5 linked regions of the Ovis aries genome follow. Each later gene encodes a partner of the first gene's protein in a complex. Links are inferred from orthologs where the notes say so. Each region holds a gene or a part of one and is shown in the gene's direction. Other genes may lie near its edges. The genes, in order: BMP2, HJV, RGMA, BMPR1A and RGMB.

What was found.
Region 2: the proteins of BMP2 (region 1) and HJV are in contact, whole or in part, in a crystal structure (PDB 4UI1), measured with the Homo sapiens proteins. The link is inferred for Ovis aries from reciprocal best matches to the Homo sapiens genes BMP2 and HJV. Residues at the interface, in NP_001191.1 of Homo sapiens: Phe331, Pro332, Ala334, Asp335, Leu337, Asn341, Ile344, Val345, Leu348, Ser351, Val352; in NP_001366281.1 of Homo sapiens: Leu40, Asn43, Tyr46, Val47, Tyr86, Leu101, Ala102, Ser105, Ala106, His108, Gly109, Ile110, Asp112, Leu113.
Region 3: the proteins of BMP2 (region 1) and RGMA are in contact, whole or in part, in a crystal structure (PDB 4UHY), measured with the Homo sapiens proteins. The link is inferred for Ovis aries from reciprocal best matches to the Homo sapiens genes BMP2 and RGMA. Residues at the interface, in NP_001191.1 of Homo sapiens: Val308, Gly309, Trp310, Asp312, Trp313, Met371, Tyr373, Leu374, Asp375, Glu376, Lys383, Tyr385, Met388; in NP_064596.2 of Homo sapiens: Arg91, Arg94, Gly95, Leu97, His100, Ser101, His104.
Region 4: the proteins of BMP2 (region 1) and BMPR1A are in contact, whole or in part, in a crystal structure (PDB 2QJ9), measured with the Homo sapiens proteins. The link is inferred for Ovis aries from reciprocal best matches to the Homo sapiens genes BMP2 and BMPR1A. Residues at the interface, in NP_001191.1 of Homo sapiens: Lys297, Pro330, Phe331, Pro332, Leu333, Ala334, Asp335, His336, Ser339, Asn341, Ile344, Val345, Leu348, Asn350, Ser351, Val352, Asn353, Ser354; in NP_001393490.1 of Homo sapiens: His66, Cys67, Pro68, Asp69, Ile77, Thr78, Asn79, Phe83, Ile85, Cys100, Met101, Lys102, Glu104, Gly105, Phe108, Gln109, Asp112, Arg120, Ile122.
Region 5: the proteins of BMP2 (region 1) and RGMB are in contact, whole or in part, in a crystal structure (PDB 4UI2), measured with the Homo sapiens proteins. The link is inferred for Ovis aries from reciprocal best matches to the Homo sapiens genes BMP2 and RGMB. Residues at the interface, in NP_001191.1 of Homo sapiens: Val308, Gly309, Trp310, Trp313, Met371, Tyr373, Leu374, Asp375, Glu376, Tyr385, Met388; in NP_001353437.1 of Homo sapiens: Lys97, Arg100, Gly101, Leu103, His106, Ser107, Leu110.

The regions. Positions count from the first base shown.
Region 1 is NC_056066.1:48,875,906-48,880,232, forward strand, and holds the start of BMP2 (bone morphogenetic protein 2), read left to right. Parts: upstream 1-1,408; 5' UTR 1,409-2,555; intron 2,556-3,739; 5' UTR 3,740-3,746; coding exon 3,747-4,089; intron 4,090-4,327. UniProt on the Homo sapiens protein: Growth factor of the TGF-beta superfamily that plays essential roles in many developmental processes, including cardiogenesis, neurogenesis, and osteogenesis. Induces cartilage and bone formation.
Region 2 is NC_056054.1:99,328,265-99,332,443, reverse strand, and holds the start of HJV (hemojuvelin), read left to right. Parts: upstream 1-1,326; 5' UTR 1,327-1,457; intron 1,458-2,728; 5' UTR 2,729-2,836; coding exon 2,837-2,933; intron 2,934-3,345; coding exon 3,346-3,908; intron 3,909-4,179. UniProt on the Homo sapiens protein: Acts as a bone morphogenetic protein (BMP) coreceptor. Through enhancement of BMP signaling regulates hepcidin (HAMP) expression and regulates iron homeostasis.
Region 3 is NC_056071.1:13,390,494-13,394,793, forward strand, and holds the start of RGMA (repulsive guidance molecule A), read left to right. Parts: upstream 1-1,339; 5' UTR 1,340-1,609; coding exon 1,610-1,623; intron 1,624-4,300.
Region 4 is NC_056078.1:40,560,366-40,564,097, forward strand, and holds part of BMPR1A (bone morphogenetic protein receptor type-1A precursor), read left to right. Parts: intron 1-3,385; coding exon 3,386-3,530; intron 3,531-3,732. UniProt on the Homo sapiens protein: On ligand binding, forms a receptor complex consisting of two type II and two type I transmembrane serine/threonine kinases.
Region 5 is NC_056058.1:95,599,818-95,603,549, forward strand, and holds part of RGMB (repulsive guidance molecule B), read left to right. Parts: intron 1-2,345; coding exon 2,346-2,632; intron 2,633-3,732. UniProt on the Homo sapiens protein: Member of the repulsive guidance molecule (RGM) family that contributes to the patterning of the developing nervous system. Acts as a bone morphogenetic protein (BMP) coreceptor that potentiates BMP signaling. Promotes neuronal adhesion.

The DNA.
Region 1 (4,327 bases):
ATTTATTTTCCTGGTAGGCAGGCTTCCTCAGAAATACCTTATTTGACCTTTATACTTTCAGAAACAGCTAGGGCCTAATTCCCCCTCTGTGGGTTGCTAATCCGATTTACGTGAGCGGAACCTACAATTATTTTAGCTTCCCAACTGAAAAAATAATACACATGGATAATAGATTGCTATGAGCTCTTGCTTCAGACTTTTTCTGCTCTACAGGCTGAAGGTTCTGTGCAGGCGAGCTTGATTTTGTCCATCTGGCCTTTTCCAAAACTTTTCTGCTTTTGGCTTTTGGGATTGTTTGGGTAAACTGGTTGAGCGATGGATGGGCGATCCTGGGATACTGGAAAGGACAGAAAGCCTTGGCTTTGGGGCTTGTGGTACAGCAGATTTGGGGACTGTCTCAGCTGAGGAAAACAAGTCACTTGACCACATGTCACAGACCTGCCGCTGGGATCTGGTGGAAGTGGGTGGGGCAGAAGGTTCTAAGGTCTCAGACCAGAGCTGTTCCGTCCCCTCGGCTCACACTGTGCCATTATTTTACCTTCCTCTGCAGTTGCTAATGGCCTGCCCCTGAGCTAGGAGAGATAAATATAAGGCATGAAGTGATTTCTACAGTAAAAAGAAAAAATCCCTCTCATCCTCTCTTCATACACACACACACACACTCTCCATGTTGCTCATGTCACGAATAGCAGAAAGAAATCCATTTCACACAGACAAAGTTATAGAAACATGTGCTTTGGTAGCACAAAGTTACGTATACGGATATATTTATAGACACACACGTGTATATTTGTGTATTACACATATATTTATTGGAATAAAAGAGCGCATTTATATAAATAAATTTACATATGTGAATGCATATGTCTGTGAATGCTAAAGTGTAAGTTACACGCAAATCCAATCTCTAGTTTTCTTTTAATTCTCCTCTCACCTCGGTTAAAACACAGAAGAGTGTACCCCACGCCTATGCCAAGATGCTTTGAAACTTGGTTGAGTTCTTCTCTAATCGTCTATTACGGAGTATCTTCAAACTGAAAGCTAAATAACGGGCCAGGAGGGGAAATAAGGTCCGACCTGGCATTCGTCGGGATTTCGTCCTGGTAGTCCCAGCCAGGGCCAGGCGCTCCGACGGATCTCCCCTTTGAGGGCAGGGGCTGGAGGCACGAGCGCCCCCCCGGCGGCCGCGGATCCCCGCCCTCGGCCCCACCCCACCGCGGCTGCCCCGGCTGCCCGGCTAGCCGTCCACACCCCTGCACACTGCTCCCGCCCGCTCGGGGATCCCCGGCGAGCCGCGCCACCGAGGGGGAGGGTGTTCGGCCTGGGCCGGGAGGGAGACGGCAGGCGGCGTCCCCTTTAAAAGCCGCGAGCGCCGCGCCACGGCGCCGCCACCGCCGCCGTCGCCGCCAGAGTCCTCGCCCCGCCGCGCCGCGCTGCGCCCGGCTCGCGCTGCGCCCGCCGCTCTTCTTCCCACACCCTACCCGAGATTGGCAGCTGCCGCCAGACATCAGCCGCCGCAGGCTCCGCCGCCCACCGAACTAGCTCGGGGCGAGCGCCTCGCGGATTACTGGGGACTCAGAGGCACCCGAGCCCGCAGACCCCGCGCGGGTTAGAGCGCCCGGCAGTGCGCGCCGCTGCGCCGTGGCCTCGGCTGACCGGGCCGCGCCGGAGCCGAAGACCGGCGCGCTGAGCCCGAGCGCCGCGATGCCGACCACCTCCCACCGGAGCTCGGGGACCTGGAACGCGCCGACCGAGGTGTGATCGGACCCCAGGCTGGCCACAAAGGGTACAGTGGCTTGGCCTGGGGGCGAAGAGACCGAGGAGAGAGTGCAGCCACCCGCCTCGGCGGCCCGATACTCGGCTCGACTCGCCGGAGAATGTGCCCGAGGACGCCGGAGCGCCGGAGCCGCGGTGGTTTCAACTGGCTAGCGCTAATGGGGGTGCGCTGGAGGAAGGCAGAGTGATGCGGGGGGGCAACTCGCCTGGCACGGAGATCGCCGCTGCGCCCTTCCCCGGACCCGGCGTCGCCCAGGATGGCTGGCCCGAGCCATGGGCCGCGGCGGAGTTAGCGCCGAGCGCCCAACCCTCGTCCCGAGAGTCCCGGAGCCGGCCCGGCGCGGGGCCACGCGTCCCGCGGGCGCTGGTTCCTAAGGACGACGACAGCACCAGCTTTTCCTTTCTCCCTTCCCTTCCCTGCTCTGCACTCCTCCCCCTGCCCGCTGTTGTTGTGTGTCAGCACTTGGCTGGAGACTTCTTGAACTTGCAGGGAAAATAACTTGCGCTCTCCACTTCGCCCCGGTGCCTCTGCCCCAGCGGACCAGCCTCACCGCCTGCGAACCCCGCCGCCCCTGCCACTTCTCCGCCGGGCCCTACCCGAGACGCCGTTCCCTGCGTGCTGGGAGGGACTGCCTGGCCGGCACCCGGGAGAAGGAAGAGGCGAAGGAAGGGAACCCGGTCCCCGCGCCAGGTCCTTCAGCCAGAGCTTTTTCCATGTGGAGACTCTTTCAATGGACGTGTCCCCGCGTGCTTCTTAGACGGTCTGCGGTCTCCTAAAGGTGACAACGTGGGCCGGGGCTGGGGGTGGGCGCGGGTCTCCCGCGGCCGCAGCAGCTGAGCCCCTCCCGGGGCCAGGCCTGGCGGGACGTAAACAGAACAGGTCCACGTGCACCGAGCCGCTGAGGGGATACCCACATCCTACCGCCCCTGGCGACCTTAGGCTTTGCCCTCCTGGCTCGCACTCTTCCGCCCCTCCTCCCTCCCTCTCTTCGGGATTTTATTAGGGCTGTTAACACATGGATGATTTTTTTTTTTTTTTTTAAGTCAAAGAAGTCCCTTCTAGAGGGTGGCCCGTGGATTTCACCCGTTAGCTGCCAACCTATACGTCCTGCCGTTTTAACTTCAAGTTTCTCCCGGAGAACTCTCTCTACTCAGAGCCGCGTCCCATTTAGGAAAATATTATACGCTGGGATTCTCTCGGGTTTTTGTTGTTGTTGTTGTTTTGTTTTCTTTTTTACCAGGAATGCAAGGGGGGGCAGTTATTTCGTGCCACCTTGAACTGACACGTGAATTAATAGATATTAGCCATCTACCTAATAGGAAGATACTTGTGTATATTTACTGCATAGGAGGGGGCGAGGGGAGGGGGGATGGAGTAGCCTGCCCTGACATTTCTGAGGTTAGGTTCGGGTCACAGGTTGCGAGTGATTTCGGAAGTTGTGTCCTTGAGTTTACTGGCTCTGGAAGTTACAGACCCTGTGTGTATCAGGAAGTTCTATACAGTGCCTGTAAGGAAGTCACATGCACCATTTGTGAGTGTTTATATGCAAGTGAGCGCTGTGTGTTTGGGTTAGGTTAGGGTACGGAGGAATGTGAGACTAAGCGGTGGTTTTCCCAGGTTCCCTATACAGTTGTCAGCGTGAGTGTCGCAGGAAAAAAAAAAAAAAAAGTGACAGTCACTGACGCAGCGTGGGGTGGGGTGGGGTTGGGTGGGGTGGGGGGCAAATCTTGACGGGTTGAGAATGGGATGGGAGCGGGGAAAACCCATCTGGCTCAGGAACTAGGTGTTTTTCCATTCTCCCAAACGTTTGAGCTTCAGCTCCTCTTAAGTATCCCCGCGAGTGTTGTCAGCCAGGTGGGCACCCTGGAGGAGGAGGCAAATGGACGGAGCGGGAGCCCGCGGGGGCGGAAGGGGTGAGGGCTGGGCGGGAAACTCCGTGACTAATGTCGGCCCTGTCCGCAGGTCGACCATGGTGGCCGGGACCCGCTGTCTTCTAGCGTTGCTGCTTCCCCAGGTCCTCCTGGGCGGCGCGGCCGGCCTCATTCCCGAGCTGGGCCGGAGGAAGTTCGCGGCGTCTGCTGGCCGCTCCTCATCCCAGCCTTCGGACGAAGTCCTGAGCGAGTTCGAGTTGCGGCTGCTCAGCATGTTCGGCCTGAAGCAGAGACCCACCCCCAGCAGGGACGCCGTGGTGCCCCCCTACATGCTGGACTTGTACCGCCAGCACTCGGGCCAACCCGGTGCGCCCGCCCCGGACCACCGGCTGGAGAGGGCAGCCAGCCTCGCCAACACAGTGCGCAGCTTTCACCACGAAGGTGAGGCGCGGGGCCGGAGCTTGGGGGCGGAGACGGGGGCGGGGAGTCGTACGGCAAAGCGCCCCGCCGTGGGCAGACTGCAGGCATCCCTGGCAGGGCAGCTTGGCCCGGGCGCTGCAGACATTTCCCTGTTTGTAAGAACCTTTCAGAACCTGGCTTTCACGCACTGCCTGTGTGGCGGGAGAGCCAGGGATTCCCTTTCGGTAAATCGGCACTCTTTTCCTGGCTTGGAGCCAGA
Region 2 (4,179 bases), on another chromosome or scaffold:
AATACCAATTTTACCACCAATAATATGACTACTTAAAATATCTTTGCACTTCTTTTTGTCCTTAAAAGTATATACCACTTGGGATGTCACAGCCAAATTATTGTTTTTAAATCACTTGGATAGTTTGGGTGGAGTCATTGTACATTTCTGTAATAAAAACCCTTGTGATATGGCTTTATGTGATAGAGAGAAAAAAATTTTCAGATCTGTATGTATAAAAAAGAGAAGAGTACTCTGTGGACTTCTGAATTCTGAATTAAATGTAGAGCAAATTAGTGCATGTGCCTTAGTGACACTATTTGAAATCAGTCCTTGTGTTAATTTCACTTGGCAAGTACTAAGAAACGATGATCCCTGATGCCTATGGCTGCAAAAATACGTGGCTAAATTCTTTGGTTGCAATCTCTTCAAAGGTCACAAGATTATGTTACTCCACAAAAGTATCTTTCTGAATCTCTTTTTCTCTCACTTTATCTCTCCAAGTTCCTCTCCCCTTCAAAAACTTGTATCCCCATTCCTTCTTTCCCTCGTTGACTTTGTTAGCCTCCTCCCTCAGAAACTCAGAAGCTTGTGTGTTTGTGTGTATACCTGCAAAGAGGAGCTGCTATATAAATAAGGTAATGAAAATGGAGGCCGTTGGGGAATAGACAGCTGCGAGGATCTGATCTGGTAGACTGAAACACACACTCATCCTAAACCACTCAGAGCTCAGATTTCTTCTCTAGACAGCTGGCTTTTTAAGTCCTTCTGAAATACTCTACAAAGATGGGGGAGGGGCTGTGAACTACCTCTGCTATGGACCTTATTTAAAGTCAGCTATCTCCTAGATATGTTCTGAAGAAACTAAATGCAATATTCAGTATGGCAAGGATGAGGGTGCTGAGCTAAAGGTATACAACTGTCTAACTGTCTAAAGGCTAGTCTAACTAGACTAAAAAATTAGTCTAATTTTTAAAGGCCAGAGGGCTTTTAAATTATTGACAGTGCTGGAGGGCTGCTTGGAGTAGGCAGTGACTAGAATCATGTAAGCTCAAACTGGATAACTGATTTGCTGGTCATATTCCTATCCCTTCTCTGCCACTTGGCACCCTATACCCCATATTCTTTCTAATCCTCCTACCCTCTCCACCCTCCCCACCTTCTCGCCAACACTCCAACACCCTACCCCCATCAACACTCCTGGAATTTTGGACTTAGCTATTTTTAAAACAGTCAACTCAGTAGCCACCTCCCTCCCCCGCTCAGCTGTCCAGTACTCCGGCCAGCCATCTAGTCCCCCTTCCCCCCACACCAGACCTTCTCTGGTTCCCTGACCTCAGTGAGACTGCAGCCTGTCTGGGGACCTAGGGGAGACATGGAGAAAGAGACGGGGGATCCCCTGGCTGGAGCTGACTGATACAGTAGACAGTCATGGCTGGAGAATTGGATAGCAGACTAATGTTTGACCTCTGGAAACAGTAAGTCAAAATTAATTGCAATTCCTTTAAAAATCTTCTAAATTGAAGTTAGAATCTCATAAAATTATGACATAAACTTGGATGTCTCTGGTGCAAATCTAGGATCTCTTCCATACCAAGGTGCCCCAGTCTCCATTTCTCCTTCTGTCTTAAGCTTTCTGGCCTCTGGCCACTAGAAGTTTAAACCTCCATCTCTCCTCTGGGAGTCTTAGCTGGCTCCTCCTATTACCTCAAGACTTCTGATGAAGTCTCCTTCTTTAGTAGAAGTTTCCTACACCTCCTATTCTGTGGTTTTCTCACCAAGGCCAAATTTAGCTTCAGATGATTAGTCACTGATACCCTCTATCTTGTTCCTATTTATCAGTGCCCTTCACATTGGGCTTCCGAGGGTGAGGCTTACTCCTTGTTGTACATGATTTCTGCCTACAACTCTAGCCCCATCATCTTGTTCTCCTTCCTGCATGACTCTCCCTCAATCATATCCCTAACTCCAGAGAGACTAGTTTGGCAAGAGGGAGTTAGCCCCTCCCCAAGCCTTGTCCTCATCAAAAGACTGACTTCCAAACTTGCAAAGTTAAGATCGATGGAAAGGTAAGATCAATGGAAAGGGTGGTTCTTCAGTCAGATTTGAAGAAAAGTTGACTCATGAAGAAGAAATGTTGACTCATAACAAATATTGATTTGCATGCTTGGTTTGCATCCATTGTTCCATGAGACAGAGGGATAATTTTAGCTCTCTACAGTAGATGAAAGAGACTGGTTCCCTTTTCATTTGAATACTGATTCCAGAGATGGGATGTGTATCCCACCCTTACTCCTCCTTACTGAAAATTCTGACACAAAGGAGGAAAATCAATGAATGACCTCTGGAGGGTGTCCCCTCCTGATGGGGAAGGGTGAATAAGCGGTAGTCTCTGATGTATTTTCAGATCCTAATTCTGTTGGGGAGCCCACTGGTATGACTGAGATCTGATCTATCCACATGGTTCCTCTTTTTGACATTCCTGCTGTTTGATAGCTCAGAATGGGGCAATACAGTGGACTCTGCCCTCCGAGTCCACTCAACCTTTCTTCCACCCCCACCTAGGGGTATTGCATAAGGGGCCTGAAAGTGGTCACAAAAGCAGGGCACAGAGGCTCAACAGCCTCGTGTTTAGTTCAGGGAGACCCATTTCCCCTAAACTCCAGTTAGCTCATTCTTTTCTTGATCTTCCCAGATTCTCTTCACATCATTCTGAACAATCTTCAACTCTTCTCTTCCCCATGCCCAGCCACATTTCTTTTTTCAGTCCCTTACAGGACGTCCGGTCAAAATTCACTAGGTAGGAGGGTCATCAGCTGGAAAGAACCGGAACCTGGGGGGACCTGGCTGGATAGGTATGGGGGATCCAGGCCAGTCCCCTAGTCCCTGGTCCCCCCATGGCAGTCCCCCAACTCTAAGCATTCTCACTCTCCTGCTGCTCCTCTGTGGACATGGTAAGGAAGGGTTAGGTAAGGCTTTGGGGGATCTAGGGGGTAGGCTGCTATGTAGGGGTGGGCATGTGAGCTTGGGTGAATGAGATGAGATGGGTGCTGAGGGGTCCCAGTCACTCGCCCCACTCTCAAATAGGTATATTTTATTCACCATTCAACTTGGGAAAGGGCACTGGGAAAGCCCTTGATCCACAGGCGGGAGAGATCTAGCAGGGCTTACCCATCTTTAGCAAGACTGAATGAGGACAAGACTAGGAAGCTGGGGGCTGGCGGCTGGGGACTGGGAATTGGGGGAGGCTCTCAGTTGGGTTTTAGGATCCGCTGCTATCCCCCCATGAGACCTGGGAGAATTATGGTTGAGGTTGCGCGGGGATCCGGGGACCAGCTCACACTCCTCTCTCCCTTCCGCCCTCAGCTTATTCTCAATGCAAGATCCTCCGCTGCAATGCTGAGTATGTATCTTCCACTCTGAGCCTTAGAGGTGGGGGTTCACCAGGAGCCCTTCGAGGAGGAGGCCGAGGTGGAGGGGTGGGCTCCAGCGGTCTCTGCCGAGCCCTCCGCTCCTACGCGCTCTGCACTCGGCGCACAGCCCGCACCTGCCGCGGGGACCTCGCCTTCCATTCTGCTGTGCACGGCATCGAAGACCTGATGATTCAGCACAACTGCTCCCGCCAGGGCCCCACGGCCCCTCCCCCACCCCGAGGCCCCGTCTTTCCGGGCGCAGGCCCGATCCGCGCCTCTGGCTCCCCAGCCCCGGACCCCTGTGACTATGAAGGCCGGTTTTCCCGGCTGCACCGACAACCCCCAGGCTTCTTGCACTGCGCCTCCTTCGGGGACCCTCACGTGCGCACCTTCCATCACCACTTTCACACGTGCCGTGTCCAAGGAGCTTGGCCCTTGCTGGATAATGACTTCCTCTTTGTCCAGGCCACCAGCTCCCCTGTGGCACTGGGGGCCAACGCCACCACCACCCGGAAGGTCAGGGACTCAACTGCTCCTCCATGGTCACCCCAGGGTTCCACTCCCATGCCAACCCTACTAGTTTTCAGCAATGCAGCTCTATTCCCTTTCCTCCTGAACCACTCTCACATCTTGAATCACTCCCTCCTACCGAACACTTGCTCCTGTAAATCACTTTCCCTCCGTGGGAATTTCACTCCAATGCAGAAAAGAGCTGGGGAGAGGAAAGTTGAGAAGCTCTGGGTTGAGAAGTTACAGAAAGGAAACTTCCTTCTCCTATGGGAGCAGC
Region 3 (4,300 bases), on another chromosome or scaffold:
ACTCTTGCCCAAGGTCAGAGCTAATTATAGAAACCAGCGATCCCAATACCCAATCTCTTCCTGCTAAATCACATGGATTTTATTTATATCCCAGCTATAGACTGTCTCAATGCCAGTAAAACACAGAATGTAGAGTTCAAACCACATCCCTCAGGACCACAAGCATAAACAACGATCACGTTTTAATGTAGATAATACCTTTTTATTTTGCAAATCCAGAGGTCTCATCACATCCAAATCCAAAGACAGCTTGTTTTCTGTTAAAAAAAAAAACAACAAAAACGCCAAGGGCATCACCCCGTCTGAAATGCGCTGGCCAATTTCTCCAGCCGCGCAACGCTAACAGGGGCGTGAGCTGTGTGCTCAGGCTGACTTCAGGGCCCAGCTGCAGTTTCAGATTTTGCGGGGCGATGGGGTGGCTCCTTGTGTGTCGCTGCAGGGATCCAGATCTTTCTCCGGATTCTGCACGCCTCTGGGGAATTTATCACAGCTCAAGTGGCCGTGTTCTCGCCAGTGTGTGCGTGCGCCGCGCGGTAAAACATTTCTTTTGAAAAGCCCGTGAGAATCCACTTGCAATCCGCGCGTGTGCGGGTAAAAGGGCAGAGCAAGGAGTAGAAAGACCCGCAGCGGAGCACACCCGACCCGAGGTGACCGCTGGGGAGCGGCTGCAAGGTGGAGGGGACGTGGCGCGGTCGTCTTTATTCTCTAGATATGGCTCAGCTTTGTACGCAGCAACGTATTCGTGCACTACACATTTAACATACGTGTGTTAGTTTTCCAACAGAAGAGTCTTAAAACAAACATCTCAGTCTGCAACTAACGTGTGTCTCTGGAGAAAGCAGCGGCGTTTCTCCTGGAAGCGAAGGTCTATTCCAGAAACCTCAGAGCAACTGCTCCCGACCCCGCCCCGGTCCCTGACCCTTGGACCACCTTGGAAAGGATGATGGAAACGTGCTCTCCAGGGCATCCCAGCGGGACATTAGGAAAGTTGGAGGCGCCTCGAGGGTCGCCGCACTTGTCCCCCGCGCCCCCCTGACCCGGGCGCGGTTTAGGGAAGTCTCGATTTGCAGCGTGCGCACTCCCAGCCCACCCCTCAACCGGTGCTGATGCGGGAAGGTGCGGCCGCGGAGGGCAGGGCAATCCGAGTCCGCACCGCCGCCTCCTCTCCCGCCCCCCTCCCCGCGGGCCCCGCCCGCCTCGCCCCCCGCCCGCGCCCCGGGCGCCCGGCCCGCCCCCTCCCCTCCGCGCGCAAACGAACCTCGCGACGCCGAGCGCTCGGCGGCGGCGGCGGGCGGGGGCCGGGCGAGGGAGGGGGCTGGCCCGAGCAGCCCGACTCGGCAGTCGTCTCCCGAGCGCCGGCTGCGCCTCCGAGCCTCTGGGCTGGGGAAGCACTCGCCGTTCGCTCTCGGGCCGGCTCCTCCAGGCGCTCGCAGGCATGCAGCCCGGGAGCAAGCGGCGCGCCCCGGGCCGCTGCTGAGCCGGCCGGGGTGGCGGGGACCAGCGCCTGCCGAGCCCCTCCCACCTTGCCCCGAGGCCGAGAGCGGCGCCCAGGCACCCCCTCTTCTCCCGCCGCCCGGCCAGCGCCACCCCCCGCGGGCTGCAGGGGCTCATGCAGCCGCCAAGGTAAGCGCGCGCCGGGAGCCTGACCGACCCGGCTCTGACAGCCCCGAGGCGCCGCCGCCGCCACTTGCCCGGGCCACCGCACCGCTTTGGTACCCCCCCGCCAAACCACCCAGCGCCTCATCTTGCTTTCATCTTGCCCAGATTTGGAGCTTTGCTGCGCCTCGATCGCTTGAGCTCTTGGCAGCAGTAAAGTTTTTGTGGTTTGGTATTTGTTCTTTTTTTTCCCCTAAAATGCTCTCCCCCGGCTGCCCGCAGCGCGCGCGGTTGGGCACACCCGGCGACCGTCTGTACCACTTGCGCGTGCTGGGAGCTCCGTTTCTCCCGCGCGGCCACCTCCTCCTCGGGCGGCCCTTCCGATCGGCCCGCGGGGCCTGGGACCGAGCGGGCCACCCGGCCGTCCCGCCGTGAGCTTTCACCGGCCGGACTCGCCCGAGCCGCGTCCCCCTGCCCTGCGCCAGGCTACCTAGTTAGAGCCGCGGCTCGAGCGCCGGCCCCGGGGCCGTAGACGCTGCGCTCCGTGTGGGCTCGGGTCCGAGCTGTCCCTTGCCTGGAAGGGCAGGTGCGCAGGAAGATGAGGGGCTTGGGCTGAGTGCTTAAGGGGTAGGATCCCGGGGGGCCCTGGTGGTCCTAAGCGGACAGGTGGACCCGGCGAGCTCCGAGCAGAGAAGGCTCCGCGCGTGGTTCGAGCCGTGGCCCATCCCAGGGGAAGCACCGGGGCAGGGAAACAGGTGTACCCAGGGGGAGGGCCGATGAGGGGGCCTGTGCAATTCTTGACTGCAGCCTGTTAATGCGATTGCGTTGGATTTGCTCGGACGTAGAGTCAATTCCCCCAGATTTAGATTTTTTTTTCTTTTCTTTTCTTTTTTTTTTTTTTCCCTGATGGGAGCCTGAGAGCTGCTATTATGTGATGTGGTTTCGGAAGGCGTCGGACTGTATTTATTTTTATAAATCGGGTGTCTTGCGGATGGATTAGGGGACATCGCGCCATCTAGCGGAAATGATGAGCCGCGCGTTTCTTTTAGGCCTCGAAGTTGGATGTTCTCAAAGTGGGAGACTCAAAGTGGGCGTCTCTCTGGGAGGCAGGAGGTAACTCAGGGACGAGTTTTCCCCGCTGTATTTATTTACCTTCCGGCTGAGCTGAAGCGCAGCGACGACAGAGCTCCGCGCGCCCAGCTTATGGGTCAGAATCGCAGGTCGCACTGAGTGGCAGGCTTTCACCTGGAGAAGATCCGTCACCTTCTCCTCTGGCTTTAGGGTCCTCTCTCACAAGCATAGGGCTTCCCGGGTATCTCAATAGTAAAGAATCCATCTGCCAATGCTGGAGACGCAGGAGACGTGAGTTCCATCCCTGGGTGGGGAAGATCCCCTGGAGGAGGAAATGGCAACCACTCCAGTATTCTTGCCTGGACAACTGCATGGACGGAGGAGCCTGGCGGGCTAGAGTACGTGGGGTCGCAAAGCGGGGACGTGACTTGGCCACTGAGCACACACAGCACAAACATGACCTAGAATGTTACCAGCGGTGAGCTTGCGCCTGTTCTCTGGACACGCGTCCAGAAATTGGCACAACCTGTGCATGGAAGGTGACCTTTTCCTGTGCATCACAGACACGAGGGATTTGTCAGGGGAGTCTTGAGCCCTGACCCCCTAGAAAAGAGATGGGCTGTGCTCTGGAGGGCAGCTGAAGGAGAACTGGAAAAGAGTCTGGCACAAATCCATCCAGGAGAGGTATAATATACAAAAATGGCTTTTTTTTTTTTTTTTTTTTTTGTGCAGAGACTTCCTGCTGTTCCACTCCCAGGGCAGGCAACAAGCAGGCCTCCTTTATAAGAGACGTGATCCCCAATTAGCAACTGGGGCAGACTTTGTTGGATGGCAAACAGAGCGGACAAAGGCTGTGGGTGGGGCACCCACACAGCCAGGCGGGCTCCACGGCCTCTCGGAGCCTGGTTTTTGCTGCCACCTTCCAGGCCAGATGATATTAGCAATGAGCTGGACTCTCCCTGTTCTGAAGGGTCAGCCGGTTCCTTATAGAGCAGTGTGGTGCTCTTCTTGTGGGGAGGGTCCTTGCCCCCCTTGAGAGCATCTGAGCTCTGGTGATGGTGAGGGAGGTCCCCAGCATCCTTTTTTCAATAACCCTGCTCCCATCCTTTACCTCTCAGGCGGTAGACAGGCACTTATGCTCTGAACAGACATTCCAAATGAGAGGCGGCTTCTCCGCTCACTCCCCACGCTATTGCAAACTGTGTCCCCCTTTGCAGGTGTTTAGTTAATAACTAGATTTAGGACAAAAAGGGTCTTGCCGTAATCCGGCATCTTATTCAAAGAGGGCTTCTGTGACCTTCGCTAGGAAACCTCTGTCTGCTTTCTCTCCTTCCAAGCCTCTCTGAGGCCTGATTCCATCCTTCCCCAGTGTGTGTAATAATAAACAGTGGAGGATGAGAAGCCCCTAGCTCACACGCCCCTTGACTTGGCTTTTAAACCAGCCCATGGGGGCCAGATAGAGGAGTCCTTAGGTGAGGAGATGCGAAACAAAATGATTAGGCACAGAGCGTTCCTAACACAGGGACAGGGCGGCCGGCTTTCAAGTCTCACAGTGATGCTCGCTGCTTCCAGGGAAGCGGTCAGGAAGAGGTGCTGGCGTTTCCGCCTCCCAAAACTGATGCCTTAGAGAGGT
Region 4 (3,732 bases), on another chromosome or scaffold:
TGGAGAAAAATGAAGCTGAGTCAGTTTTGTACATTGAAATAAGTTTTAGCCAGATTTAGCCATGTAGATATATAATTCATGTATATATACATATATATTTACATATATAAAGTGAAATGCTTAAATACTAGAACAAACCTTGGAATAGTTTTTAAAAATAATCTGAATCTGACACAAAACTTACTAGCCAAAAAAAACCACAAAACACCTTAAAATTAAAAAAGGAAAGATTGATGGTGTCAACTACATAAAAATAAAACTTTACTATGTGGTAGAAACCACTATAAATAGTCAGAAGACAGTCTAACAGTGAAAAATATCCCCTGCTTATATTACAAAGAGCTAATTTCTTAAATATAAAGAGCTTCTATAAATCGAAAATAAAAAAAATCAATTCAGTAATTACCAAAAAATGAACTTATGGTTTGTTTAAATAGAAATACATATGGCTCTTAAAAGAAAAAGATGACTCAAGAATACTCAAAATATGAAAAATATGTTAAAATCATACTGAGGTTTTATTTTTTACCTGTTATACTGGCAGAGATTCACATGTTTGATAGTAGGTCTTTTAGATAGAGCATCCTTTTCTACTTTTGTTGCTTCCACTAAAATGGCAATAAAGAGTTTTAAAATGTTTTGTTCAGCCAGAACAGGGAGACAAGATGACAGCAAAAAGCTGTGGAATCTGGGAAACTTATGGATGAGTATAGACCTAGAAAATCTGAATCCCAGGCTAGAAATTGAGAAAGACAAACAGCAACCGATTTGTACTACAAAATTCCCCCAAGAAGTTCACGAATTGGCAGTACTAGCCACCTCTGGAAGTTAAGCCGAGGGTGGCAGGGAAACTGAGAGGGTGGCCTGAAAGTCTGTTTTTAGAAGGTCAGGTGCTGTGTTGGTTGTGCAATCCTGTGTTAAGAAATCACTCCCAGATTTAGTGATCTGAAACAGTGGCTATTACCGCTCACCATTTCTGTGGGTCAGGACTTCAGGAGTGACCTGCCTGGGCAGCTCGGGATCTTTCGTGACCTTCAGGAAGATGTCAGCAGATGCTGGACTCACCTGGAAGCTTGGCTGGAACTGGTAGATCCTCTTCCAAGGCAGCTCACTTCCAGGGCTCACTTCCAGGGAGATCTTAGTCCCTCCGATATGAACCTCTCTACGGAGCGGCCTGCATGAGCTTACTCACAGCAGGAAGCCTGGCTTCCCGTGCAGAGTGAATGGTCCAGAGACCAAGGTGAAAGATGGGCGCTGTATGTGATCTAGACTCAGAAGTCACACCATCTCTTCTGCCATCCATATCTTACTGGTCACCCAGGTCAGCCCTGGTGCTTTCTGGAAGGGAATTAAACAAGGACAGGTGTACCAGGAGGTGAGAAATTTTGTGGGCCATTTTGGTTGCCAGATAACCACTGATGTTGAGATCCCTGTTCTTATTCTGAATGATCATGTGACTTTGATCCTGAGCAAAAGGCTAGAAGTGTTGTCTCGGGGAAAGAGCAAAAATGTTCCCATCTATGGTGTCCCGTTACTGAGGGTGAGATAAATGGTATAGTGAAAATAAGGAGGTAAAGTGAATATTTACATACTAATTTGTGGGCCCCTCAGCCGTCCAGAACCGTGCTAGCCAAGCTTGTTCCCTCTAGATAATGTATAAGAAGATTATTCTTAGGGAACAACCATCTGGCCCAAGAAAAAAAGACCTAAATATTCTGCCTCCAGTAAGCCCAGTGAAATGGCCCCAGCAGATTATCAGAGTGAAACCTGTAATCAGTAAGCCCCATTCACGTATTAAGAGCTGCCGGTCAGGCCGTGAAGGACACTGACCCCTGAGAAACAGGAAGCAGATGAGGTGAGTCTTGCTATTGCCCAGCTTACTCCCTGAGAAGAGTTCCTGACTGCGGGACACAGGAATGACTCACGCAGAACCCAGCAGGCACTCTGAGTCGAGGAGATACAGCTGAGAGTCTGAGGAGAGAGCAGCAGCTATGGTTCATAGGTGCAGAGTGCTGGAAAGGAGAGAGTTTTCATAGAGGAAGAACTCTGTGGACGTCTTCAGAATGGCCCCATAGAATATTCAGCTGATCTTAGTCAGTGATTTCAAGTGAGCAAACCCCCAAGGCTGAGAAAGACTGCCTGAAAAGGTCAAAGGATCGATATTCAGTGCTCACACAAGGCCGTGAACAGTGTCTCTTCCCACCAGCTATGTGACCTGAAAACCTCACAATTCACGGGGCTCTGTTTATAGCACTCAGAAGGGTCTTGCCTCAGCATTGGAGAATAATTAGTCAGCTGTCTGACTTGGGGCAAATGGTGAGCCCTGGGCCTATGGTTTCCTCTTTTGTAAAAAGGAAACACTACAACTTATCTCTTAGGAGTTTAATAAAGTTGAAGTAAGTCACAGAACAGTGCCTGACACACTGAACATCAATAGAAATGAGCTGTTTTTTTTTTTAACATGTATCAACATGGATAAATAGGTAATACATAAGAAATTTCTTATACAAGATGTAAAATATTAATACAACATATGCCATTTATAGAAATTAGTATCCAGAGAAAAAAATTTGTGTGTGAATATATACTTTTTATGGTAAAGGTATAAATACATAAATAGGAAGGCTATAGCCACCTTCAAGACAGTGTTTGTCTCTTAGGATTAAAAGAAGAAAATGAAATTATGAGGGAAATTTCAAATATTTTAATGTTTATTTAAAATATATCAAAAAATTATAGCTTAATATTTATTAAATTTAAATGGTTTACACATGGGTGCTAATTAAATTAATCTCTACTGTTTAAATGTTTGAAACATCTCATAATTTAAAGTTTTTTTCAAAAACCTTTAAAAATATCAGAATGAACTTGTTTGACTTCTCTTCCGTAAACTCCTTTTCCCTTTTTAAAAATGGTAGTATATTTATTGTTCATTATGATGTAAAACTACGTTTATGAATTCAAATGAAAAAACATATGTAAAGCAAAGAATGGATATTCTTACATCCCCAGCAATAACTATTATTTACAACTGCTATATATCCTTTCTGATCCTTTCAGAGAAGTATAGATGCATATAATTCTAAACTGTTTATAGTGAGGGTGAGACTTTACATGCTGGTTTTTAATCGGTTTTTTTCACTTGCCAACGTACCATGGACATCTTTCCATTTTAAGGTAGTAAATAGCTCTCTATTTCAGAAACTCCATCTTTGGACATTATTTTAACAGAGAATATATTATTCTATGATAAGACTAATTTGGTTATGAACCCATGTGATGAAGGAATGATGATAATGTCAACAGTCTCGAGATTTTTCTTACCTTAGAATTTTATTGTTTTAGAATTTTAATATAGTTATCTTCTGCTCTTTTAAAATAAAAGACATTATTGCAAGAGCATCTCAAGCAGACGCCGTTACAATCGTGATCTGGAACAAGATGAAGCATTTATTCCAGTTGGAGAATCATTAAAAGACCTTATTGACCAGTCACAGAGTTCTGGTAGTGGATCTGGACTACCCTTATTGGTAAGCTGGAATGTCATGTGAGCATGAACGGTGTACTGATGCAGAATGTATTGTCATATGGTGGGGTGAAAGTCGCTCAGTTGTGTCCGACTCTTTGTGACCCCATGGACTACAGAGTCCATGGAATTCTCCAGGCCAGAATACTGGGGTGGGTAGCCTTTCCTCTCTCCGGGGGATCTTCCCAACCCAGGGATCGAACCCA
Region 5 (3,732 bases), on another chromosome or scaffold:
CAGTATTTACTTCACAGTATCACCTAAAAATCATATCCCATAACTCCCCCCAAAAAGTCATTTCTCCGGGCAACTCTGAAGCTACTATTAAGCATATTATGGATACACACAAGACTTGGGTTATATCGTGGGCAGTGAAAGGTATGTTTACCACTTGAGTCATCATAGTATGTAATAAGTAAGTAATGAAAAGTTGCAGTAAAAATAGATAGGCATCCTTCATTAGGGAGCTAGTGGTTTGTATAATTCAGAAGGTGTGTAATGAGGAAGCTGGAGTGATGGAGGGCTTGCCCTCAATTATCCTGGTCCATTGACTGGCACTTTTTAACATGTGGAATACTAACATGTCCGTGGTTGATACGAAAATTCCTAAATTAGGGATTGTGAGTAATGTAGCAAGCAGAGTTGCAGACTGCGACTTGGATATAAGTTCATTTAAAATGGCAGCCCATTGCCGTTTGCGGTGCTGCTGTGCTGTGCCAAGTCGCTCAGTCATGTCGGACTCTTTGCGACCCTACGGACGGTAGCCCTGTCCAGGGGATTCTCCAGGCAAGAACGCTGGAGTGTTGGAGAAAGGCAAAGACGAGGACAGTATGAAGTGGCTCCTGGCCTTTGAGGCCATTCTTGAGATTAGATACCACTTCACACTTGCTGATAACAAATTGGAACCTATCATCGACCTCATAAAACATGCTTTCCTGTATCTCTGGAAGTCTCCTTTCCCGCCAGCAATTGGTTTCCCTCTCATTTTTGCAACCATTCCATCGCAAAAGTAGAAACGGACCTGCTATTGAATTAATTTGCTAATAGACGATGAACATTTGTGGAAAAGCCACGGAGCAACAACAGATCATGGTATAAAATTACACTGCAATAAAACTCACTATCCTCATGAATCTAACTACAGTATAACAGAACACGTGGACGTCCTCCCTACTCTCAGAACCCCCTCCCCAACTGCTTTCAGGAAGGGAAAAATGTCAGAGTGACGGGAACACCAGCTGCCCGCGAACTCCACCAGGGAGCTGGTGGCTACCTTCCCAGGCCATCCGATTCGTTCCGGACCACGGGTCACATTCGCATTTCCAACGCGACTGGCTTTACCAAAAGTCCCGAATGGGCTCAGAAGGCGGTGGCTTTACTGGAAAAAAAAAAAAAAAAAGGCTCATTTGAAAACACCCTGATGCTGGGAAAGATTGAAGGTGGGAGAAGAAGGGGCCGACACAGGATGAGATGGTTGGATGGCATCACCGACTCAATGGACATGGGTTTGAGTAAACTCCGGGAGCTGGTGATTGACAGGGAAGCCTGGCGTGCTGCGGTCCACGGGGTCGCAAAGAGTCGGACACGACTGAGCGACTGAACTGAACGGAACTTACTTAAAAAAAAAAAAAAAGTCCGCAGCGGGCTCAGAACGCGGCTCAGCAGATGCGATTGGCGTCGAAGGGACCTGCCGCCGGGCGCTAAGCATAAAGGCGCCCGTTTCCTCCGAGGAGCCAGGGCTGTAGGGCAGGGACAGGGTCGGGGGCTGGTGATCTAAATAAAAGCGTTACGGAGAGGGACATTGAACCCGATCACTTTCCTTCTCGGAAAGGCCAAAGGCTGGCTCCTTTGTAACGACGGAGCTGCCGTCGCCCGTCTCCACTGGGCGCGGGGCGGCAGTACATTGCAGGAGAGGGTGGAGGGGAGCGTGGAGGCCGCAGCCAGCAATAGGGAGGCTGGGCCGCAGCGCCGCCGACCCGACCGGCGGCGGGCAGGACGCGGAACTCGAATCACCCCGGGGAGGCTGGGAGCAGGGGGCGGGGGCCCGGAGGGGTGGGGCCGGAGGGCGGGGCGGGCGCTTGGGGCCCTATGAGTGGCCGACTGGGTCCACAGCTCCCGCCTCTCGGCCAATGGAGTTAGAGGGGGCGGGGAGGGGCGGGGCGGAGCCGGCGTGGATTGGCGGGGCGTTGGGAGGGGCGGGGCGGCAGTGCGGGGCTGAGATTGATCGAGCGCGGGGGCCCCCGCGGCACAGAGTGATCGCGGCAGCCGGCGGCTGCGGGCTGCCGCTCTGGGCTCCGTCCGGTGCGTTTCCGCGCCCGCCGAGCCCACGCTGGACCAGGGACGCCCCGCGCGCGCGCTGCCGGCCGGGCTTCGCACTCGCTCACCGTCTTTGTGTCTTTTCCTTCCCCGCCCTCCGCTCTCTCCTCCCGCCCTCCGCCCGCTCGCCCGCCGACTCCGGCCGCCACGATGCCTCCGCTCCCCGCGGCCGACGCCGCCGACGCGCTCCGCCCGCGGCGCCCGGCTCGCTTCTGCTGCTCCTGCGGCGGCGGCGGCGGCGGCCCGCGTCCGACGCGGGGCTGAAGGAGGAAGAAGAGGAAGCGGGGCGCTCCCTCCGGCCCATGCCGCCGCCCCGGCCCGGGACCCGCCACGGCCCCCGCGCCGCCGCCCTCGCCGGAGCCCACGAGAGCTGCATGGACGGGCATGGGCTTGAGAGCAGCATCGCCCTCCTGCGCCGCCGCCGCCCCAGCCTCCGCCGCCGCTGCCGCCGGGGCTGAGCCGCGCCGCCGCCCCCGCCGCCGCCCCGGGCTCGGCCCGCCGCCCCTGGCGCTGCTGCTGCTGTTGCTGCTCAGCCTTGGGCTGCTTCATGCAGGTACGGGGGGCGCGCGCGCGGGTTGGGGGTGGGGAGCCGCCTGTAGGGCCAGGGGGGCTGGGTTCCCCTATCCCCCTACTCCCGGGGGGGCAGAAGGCGCTGGCCGGGGCAGGAAAGGCCTCCCCAGCTCCTGACCCGCACCGTGGCCGGCTGGCGGCGCGGCGGCAGGAACACACCCGCCAACCGAGCGGCGCGCCCAGGGCACACGGGAGCGGCCTTTCGCCCTGCCTCCCGCCCCCCGAGACAAACGTTCCGGATGCTCTATTGCTCTCTGCATGGGTGTTTTACTGAAAGTCAGGCTGGGATCAGGTTTACGCCGCCGCCTCCTAGGCTGAGGAGACGAGGAGCCTGGTTGCTGCTGCTGCCCTGGAGTTGGGGGTGGCGTCGAGGCGAAGAAATGGCACCCGATGGGAAGATAATTCTACCCTTTTGAAAACCTGGGGGTTCATCTCGAAGTCACTTAAAACTTCTTTAAACTGAGATCGTTTTCGTATTTGCGAAAGCCCCTTTTAATTTCAGCTTTCACCTCCTGTTTGGGAAAACTTCGTGCTTTGTGGCTAGCCGCGTGTTTTGGGGCGTTCCAGGAGAGTGTGACCGATCTCTTGCCTTCGGGAACTTCCCCGGTGGAAGCAGCAGTGAGGAATCCGTTCTTAGCGAAGTAAAACCTTTTTGTCTTAGCGACGATGAGCCTTCTAGCTTGTTTTGCCTGTTTTTCTTTTTAAGATCTTTTCATGAACACAATGATACATGTCAGTTATATCTCAAGAAAGCTGGGGGTGGGGAGGGGGGGAATCTAGAACGCCCTTTACAAATAGGTACCATTCCTAGCAGTATATCTAGACAAAAAGTTTTTTCATTGCCAAATTGAAAAAGAATCTATCTTTTAGTTTGAGAGCACTTAGAGCATTAGATACGTTATCCTTTGAGATCTTTTTGTCCTGTATTTGTGGGACAGCAATCACCACACTCTGATCTGGAGAATACTGAACTGTAATGCCACCCAGCTGTGCCAGAGTTAATTTTTATTTATTTATTAAGTCATACCAGCAGTGTTAAAAATCCGGGAGGTCTTTTAAGTAATGGGGAAAAAATGTGACATT